2 linked regions of the Macaca fascicularis genome follow. The protein of the gene in region 2 interacts with the protein of the main gene of each other region in a pairwise test. Links are inferred from orthologs where the notes say so. Each region holds a gene or a part of one and is shown on either strand. Other genes may lie near its edges.

Evidence for each region.
Region 1: the proteins of SH2B1 (region 2) and NTRK1 interact in a two-hybrid assay, tested with the Homo sapiens proteins (2 studies listed by BioGRID). The link is inferred for Macaca fascicularis from reciprocal best matches to the Homo sapiens genes SH2B1 and NTRK1.

Annotation. Positions count from the first base shown.
Region 1 is NC_088375.1:104,195,884-104,198,590, reverse strand, and holds part of NTRK1 (high affinity nerve growth factor receptor), read left to right. Parts: intron 1-1,754; coding exon 1,755-1,995; intron 1,996-2,614; coding exon 2,615-2,707. UniProt on the Homo sapiens protein: Receptor tyrosine kinase involved in the development and the maturation of the central and peripheral nervous systems through regulation of proliferation, differentiation and survival of sympathetic and nervous neurons.
Region 2 is NC_088394.1:27,607,003-27,611,303, forward strand, and holds the start of SH2B1 (SH2B adapter protein 1), read right to left. Parts: upstream 3,075-4,301; 5' UTR 2,853-3,074; intron 2,760-2,852; exon of another isoform or gene 986-2,759; intron 606-985; exon of another isoform or gene 602-605; 5' UTR 519-601; coding exon 1-518. UniProt on the Homo sapiens protein: Adapter protein for several members of the tyrosine kinase receptor family.

The sequences.
Region 1 (2,707 bases), on a different chromosome or scaffold from region 2:
ACTTCAAGAAACGTGCCTGTTTCACAGATAAGGCTTAGAGAGGTTCGGTGACTTGCCCAAGGGTACACAGGTAGTGAATGGCCCAGGGGTGATGTGACCCCAGGCAGAGCCCCTACTCTCAACCCCTGATGTGATGGTCACATGTTCCCTTGGTCTAGTCCCTTGGTCTACTCCCTTGGTCATCTTCTGATGAGATCGCCCCTGGGAGGATGGGGCAGTGTTTGCAAGGCAGGGAGAAGACCAGGGTTTGGAATCAGCTGCCACTTATGAGCTGAGCCTTCTTTGCCGAGTAGCTTTCCCCTCACTTTCCTCACCAGTAAGAGGGACAGTGGAGGGCTGTGGTTCTGGATGAGCAAGCGCTGTGTGGTTGTCCAGCTGATGGTCATGAGCTGGTCCCCAAACATCCCCTTGGGAGTGATGGGTCATTCATACAGTCAGGTGGCAGGACTCAGCTAGGAGAGAACCCTGAGTCTTGGGCTTATCGTGTGGACCAGGAGGGAGCCCATGCAGGGTGTGGAGCAGGAGGCGAGGCCAGACCCAAGGTTGAGTGTGGAGGAGGATCGGCAGAGAGGAGCCCGAGAAGGCCAGGGAGGAGCCTATCTCTTTGCTCCCAGACATGGCGTAGGCTCAGTGCTGGTCTTGAGGACACAGGCTAGGGAGATACCACCATCTGGGGCCCAGGCTGTGGGAGATGAGGCTCTAACTGCTGGATGGAACACTGGGGGAATCAATGGAGGGAATCATTAATGCTCAGAGATGAGTCTGGAAGACTTCCCCTAGGAGGGACCATCTGTTCCTTCTCCCCTCCAGGCCTTTGTACTTCCAGTTCCCTCTGCCTGGAGCACTGGGCCTCCCTCCCTCCACAGAAAGATGGAGACAGACACACAGACTCTACCCCTCCCTGCCTCAGCCCCCTTCGAATGGCTTCAGGAGCTGAGTTTCAGTTTAGGTGTCCCTTCCTCTAGGAAGCCTTCCCTGGCTTTTTCCATTCCCACCCGTGCCTGCCAGGTGCCCCTCACACTGCACTGCCATGACCTGCTTATCTGCATCATACTCTGCGCTGTAGCCCCGGTGCTTGGCACGTTGGAAATGTTTAACAAATGCCTCAACTAAACGAATGAGGAGAAGATTGGCTAGTAGGAAAGGGCATTCTTGGCAAAGTGATCGATTCAGGCAAAGGTTCAGGAGAAGGAACATTGGGGAATACAGATGAGTGACTAGGACTGACCCAAGTGTTCACTGTGGGGAGAAGGCAGGCATCCTGGACACCTTCAAAAGTAAGGAAGACCCTGTAGGAATGGCTGGTCACTGAGGGCAAAGGGGAGAGAGACAGGACAATCAAGGACTCCCTGGTTTCAGGGTCTGCCTGGGTGGGGAGGGTCCCTTCCCTGAGGCAGGGTCAGGGTCAGGCTCAGGGAAAGACACTGAGCTGCAATTGGCAAGGGCTGAGTCTGACGTGCCTATGGCAAGGGATGTAGGGGCCAGTGGGCATCTGGAATTCAAGGAGCTGCCAGAGAGGAAGGCATGGATGTGGGAACTGTGAGCTGTCTCTGGTGGAAGCCCTGGAGGTGGGCACGCCTGTTCTGCTCCTCCGTCCCGCCCCTCTGGACAGCTGCCTCTACTGTTCTCTCAATCCTCCACTACTAGGCCCCCAGTCTCCTCTCCCATCACACCTGGCTGCTGGGGATCGCCTTCCTCAGGCTCCTGGGGATTCTGTCCTCCCAGCCTATCCCCACTCCTTTTCTTGTTCACAGATCCCATGGGCCTGATGCCAAGCTGCTGGCTGGTGGGGAGGATGTGGCTCCAGGCCCCCTGGGTCTGGGGCAGCTGCTGGCCGTGGCTAGCCAGGTCGCTGCGGGGATGGTGTACCTGGCAGGTCTTCATTTTGTGCACCGGGACCTGGCCACACGAAACTGTCTGGTGGGCCAAGGACTGGTGGTCAAGATTGGTGATTTTGGCATGAGCAGGGATATCTACAGCACCGACTATTACCGTGTAAGGGTCCTTTGTCCCCAACGCCTTCCCCTGACTCCAAACTGTAGACTCCCTGGATCCCAAGACCACTGAGAGCCTGCCCTTGCTAGGAAGCCTGCAAGGGTCTGAGATTCACTGGCTCTAGTTTTCAACCTACCTCCTCAGCCCCCACTGGTGGGGATTCTGTCTCCTTTGCTGTCCTGGTCGGAAACAGCACCCTTCAGTTTTTGCCTGTTAGCACTGAGAGGCACATCTGTTTGTTTATTTATTTAATTTATTTTTTTTTGAGACGGAGTCTCACTCTGTCGCCAGGCTGGAGTGCAGTGGCACAATCTCGGCTCACTGCAACCTCCGACTCCCTGGTTCAAGCGATGCTCCTGCCTCAGCCTCCCGAGTAGCTGGGATTACAGGTGCCGCCATCACGCCCAACTAATTTTTGTATTTTTAGTAGAGACGGGGTTTCACCATGTTGGCCAGGATGATCTCAATCTCTTGACCTCGGTCTCCCAAAGTGCTGGGATTACAGGCGTGAGCCTCCGCGCCTGGCATATTTATTTTTAATGATGGGGCAGGGGTGAGCTGTGCCTTGACGGGCTGTCCCAGGCGCCCCTGGAGTTGACGCAGCGCCCGCCCACCACAGGTGGGAGGCCGCACCATGCTGCCCATCCGCTGGATGCCACCCGAGAGCATCCTCTACCGCAAGTTCACCACCGAGAGTGACGTGTGGAGCTTC
Region 2 (4,301 bases):
CGCCACTGCAGGATGCCACGGACTGAGCCTCGGACGGAGCGACCCACTGAGCGCAGGGAGAAGCGCTTCTTGAGCTTCGGCTTGGAGGAGGTTGTAGAGGAGGAAGAGACTGAGGAAGGGAGGGGGCCGGCCAGGTCCTCAGATGATCGAGAAGGGCCCAGCACAGCCAGGGGCCCACCCACCCTGCAGCTCTCAAGGGACAGGTCATGTGGCGAGATCTCTGCACCAGGGCTCAGGGGAGCCAGGATGGGTGGCGACAGGGAGCCAGAGGCCCGGGCCACCTCGGCTTCAAAGTGCTGCAGGAAGAGCTCAGCAAAACGGCGGGAGAAGGCAGCCTCAGCCCCGGGCCCCGCATATTGGGGGTGGGAGGCCAGGTAGAGGCGAAAACGGCGGGCAAAGTCCAGAGCCGCAGCCCGGGCGTGGGACTCACAGAACTCCCGCCAACTAGGGGGCGGGGGTGGGGGCAGTGGGGGAGACGAGGGGGAGGCCCCGTCCTCTGGGGAAGGGGCACCATTCATGATGGGCCCCAGGAGGTGGAGAGGGGGAGCCTGCGGGGCACAAAGAGGGAGGCAGCCAGAAGACGAGGGGTGGGCGGCAGCAGCTGCGGAAGGAAGAGAGAGGCACACACGAGGGTCACTGCTGAGGGCGCACTGGGGGCTGCATCCCACCCCCAGCCAGAGATGCTCATCCCTACTGCAGACTCCACAGAGAGCCATGGGGAAGGGAGCCCAACACCTCCCTTCCCTCTCCCAGATCCTAGCACCCCGCAGGCCCCAGCCAACTGGTTCCCCAGCAGCCTGCCCCAGCCTGCCGCGTTTGTCCCCAATTTCCTTAGCTTTGGATCCAGAGGTAGAGGGCTTTGGAGCACCTTCCCCCTAAAAAAGAGAACTTTTCCAGATCACCCCTCTTCTCTACGTCGGATCCTCCAATATTCATGTCACACTTCCCATGAGCCATTTTAGAGGCTCCCTCTTGGTTATCTTACCTTTCCCTGTGAGAGGTTTCAAAGACCCCTCGAACAGATGAGGAAACCGAAGCTCAGAAAAGTTTCAGAACTCCAAGTCTACTGTTTTCCCCTCTCCACAGTCCCTGTCCCCAGGGACCAGCTGGGCCAACCTCAGCCATAGCACCTCACCGCCCTAGCTCGCAGGAGGCTAGAGGGGAGCTGGGACTCTAGACCTTAGAGAGCCTGCCTCACACATCTTAGGGTCCAGCTCTTCGAAGGGGGCCGATTCACTAAGAAGGATGGATGCATGACGGACCAAAACAGTAATTGTCTTGAAAGCTGACCCCAGAATCCAGCACACACGCACTGCGTGAAGGAGATCTGAAATAGCTGCAGCCCACTTCTTTGGTATCCCTTCAGTATGGGGCCAGAGGCCGCAAGGACCCCAGAGGAGCAACTAGGTTGGGTCAGGTCAAGTCTTTGCTGGCCTCACATAAACAAAACATCACAGGGAGAGCTGGGGCCCTAGGATTTTTCACCTTCCTCTTCTCCCACTGGGGAGTATGCCCTAAAGGCAGGTTAGCCTTCTGGTTAAGGCCATGGACTAGAGTCAGACCAGGGCTGAAACCACCTTATGAGTGCCCAGTCCAGCCCCCTTATAAGCGATGTTATCTTGAACAAATCCCACGTCCTCTCTGAGCCTCCGTTTTTGTATCTGTTAAACAGAGCTCATGATCCCTCCCCCCTCGAAATGTTGAGAGAATTACATGGAATGGGATATGTCAGCGCTGAATGCAAAGTAAGCATCCGCTAAACGACTGCCATTGTTACTATCTTCATGTGGGAGAAAAACATTATAGTTCCAGTTTTCTAAAAGAGAAATTAGAGATAGCAAGAGCCCTCTCAAGGTCTTACAACTATAAAGTGGCAGAGCTGGGTGTGGAATTTACAACCCTTGGCTCTTTTGTTAGCGCTCCTCCCCCCACGCAATACTGGAAGGTGACAGCCCCAGGACTGGGGCCAGGGCAGCTCAGGAAAGTCTTCTCAAACCCTCAGCGACCTCAGACTCCTGTTCAAACCTACAGCCAGGCTGTAAGTCGGCGAACCCTCCCGTTCCTCCTGGGCCTCGACCCTACAAGCTCAGATGGCTCCAACCGCAGGGACAACTCCAAACCAACGAGAAAGAGCCAGGAGATGCAGGAGTCATGGAGCAGGGGGGAACCCAGCCAAGAGGTGCAGACCAATCTCCAGCCAGCGGCCACCTCCGCTCACACAGGCCCACCCAACCCTCTGCACCGCAGACAGACCCAGCCCCCTTCAGGCCCGCTGACCCTGCGGCTCCTAAGCTGGTGACTCAGTTTCTCTTCTGCCAAGCAGGACTCAGACACAGTTTCCCGGTGCACCTGCTTCCTGGCTCAGTTCTGATATTTCCCGAAGGGCGGGTGATGGAGGGTGCAGGCTCCGCTCTTGGCTCGGACCCTCCGGGCCCGGTGGTCCATCCACTCCGACCCGACCCTACTCCCTGGACACCCCCCAGCCGCCCATTCTCCGGGGCCGCATCCGCCTCGGGACCAGCCCTGTCTGCTGCACTCTCCGGGGCCGAGTGCCCCTCCAGCCCCCGGCCCTCCACGCCCACCCCCACCCAGGGATCCTCTCGGGCGCCAGGGCCGGGTCGCGGAGAGGGAAGAGGCACTTGAAGAGGGGGGTTCCGGTTCCGGTCCCACCTGCATCTCGGTCCCCGCGGTTAGCTCCGGCGGCAGCGGCGACTCCCGCTCCCTGCGCCCCCACCCACTACGCGACGAGCGCCCAGCCCGGTTCCGCGCAGGCGCCAGGACCCCCTTTCCCGTCGCTGACGGAAGCGACCATCGAGAAGAGCGGCGGGAGGGAAGGGCACCTCCATACTTACTTCCGCCATTCTCCCGCTCGGCGCCGACCCCGGGAGACCGAAGACGGTGTGAATCTCGTAGGGCTTCAGTGCCTTCTCCAGTTGCACCTAAAAGCGGCCACAGACGCGGTGGGGGAAGGGCTTGGATCCCACCAGAGCGTCCTCCCGGAGGAAATTCGGGACAAAGGGACGATGTAGAACATAGAGAAGCCGCCTTAGGGGATAGAGTCCCAGGGCCCGGCTGAGGGCTAGAGTAGCCGCCGAGCACCGGAAACCAGCGAGATGATGAGGCTGTGTGAACTGCCCGCTGCAGCCTAGAGCGCCGGCCCCCGCTGCGGAGGGGCACGCGGACAACGCCCCCAAGGAGCTGAGCGGGGGAAGAAGCGGCTGACCTTGGGGCGGCCCTGTGGGGAGGCGGAGCCTGAACTTAACGACCTTGGTTTATCTGAGGAGAGGCAGGCGGTCCGGGAGTTTGTATCTCTGAAACTGGAAATGAAGATGGGAGGTAGAAATAATGAGATCAGAGCGCGGTGGCTCACGCCTGTAATCCCTGCACTTTGGGAGGTCGAGGCGAGTGGATCACGAGGTCAGGAGTTCGAGACCAGCCTGGCCAACATAGTGAAACCCTGTCTCTACTAAAAATACAAAAGTTAGCCGGGCGTGGTGGCGCGCGCCTGTAGTCCCAGCCCCTCGGGAGGCCGAGGCAGGAGAATAGCTTGAACCCGGGAGGCAGAGATTGCGGTGAGCCGAAATGGCGCCAGGGCACTCCAGCCCGGCAACAGAGCTAGACTCCCTATCAAAAAAAAAAAAAAAAAAGAATTAATGAGGTCAGGGCCGGGCGCGGTGATCACTTGAGGTCAGGAGTTTGAGACCAGCCTGACCAACATGGTGAAACCTCCGTCTGTACTAAAAATACAAAAAAAAATTAGCTGGGCGTGGTGGCAGGCGCCTGTAATCCCAGCTACTTGGGAGCAGGCTGAGGCAGGAGAATCGCTTGAACCCGGAAGGCGGAAGTTGCAGTGAGCCAAGACTGCCATTGCCAGCCTGGGCAAAAGAGCGAGACTCTGTCTCAAAAATAGTAACAACAATAATAATGAGGTCAATTTCAGACGTGCTTTTGGGACATCTGTGGGCATGTGGTCTGGAGATCAGAAGAGACATCAAGGCCAGTTAGAGAAATCGAGAACAATTAAAGTATGGAGGGTAGTGGAAAGCATGAGCACAGTGAGATCCTCCACCCATCCAGTCTCTCATTGACCCAGCTCCAGCTGGCCTAAACAATAAAGGAAGCTATGGCCCAAGTAATCGAAAAGTCCAGAGCAGACAGATTCCAGACAGGTGAACACAGGGGCCAGAAGAGATCAGGAACCTGTGGCTCACCATCTCTGGTTCTGCGGCTCACCATCTCTGGTTCTGCCTTCCCGGTGCATTTGGCTTCACCCTCAGGCAGGCTCTCCTCTCTCAGTGGCA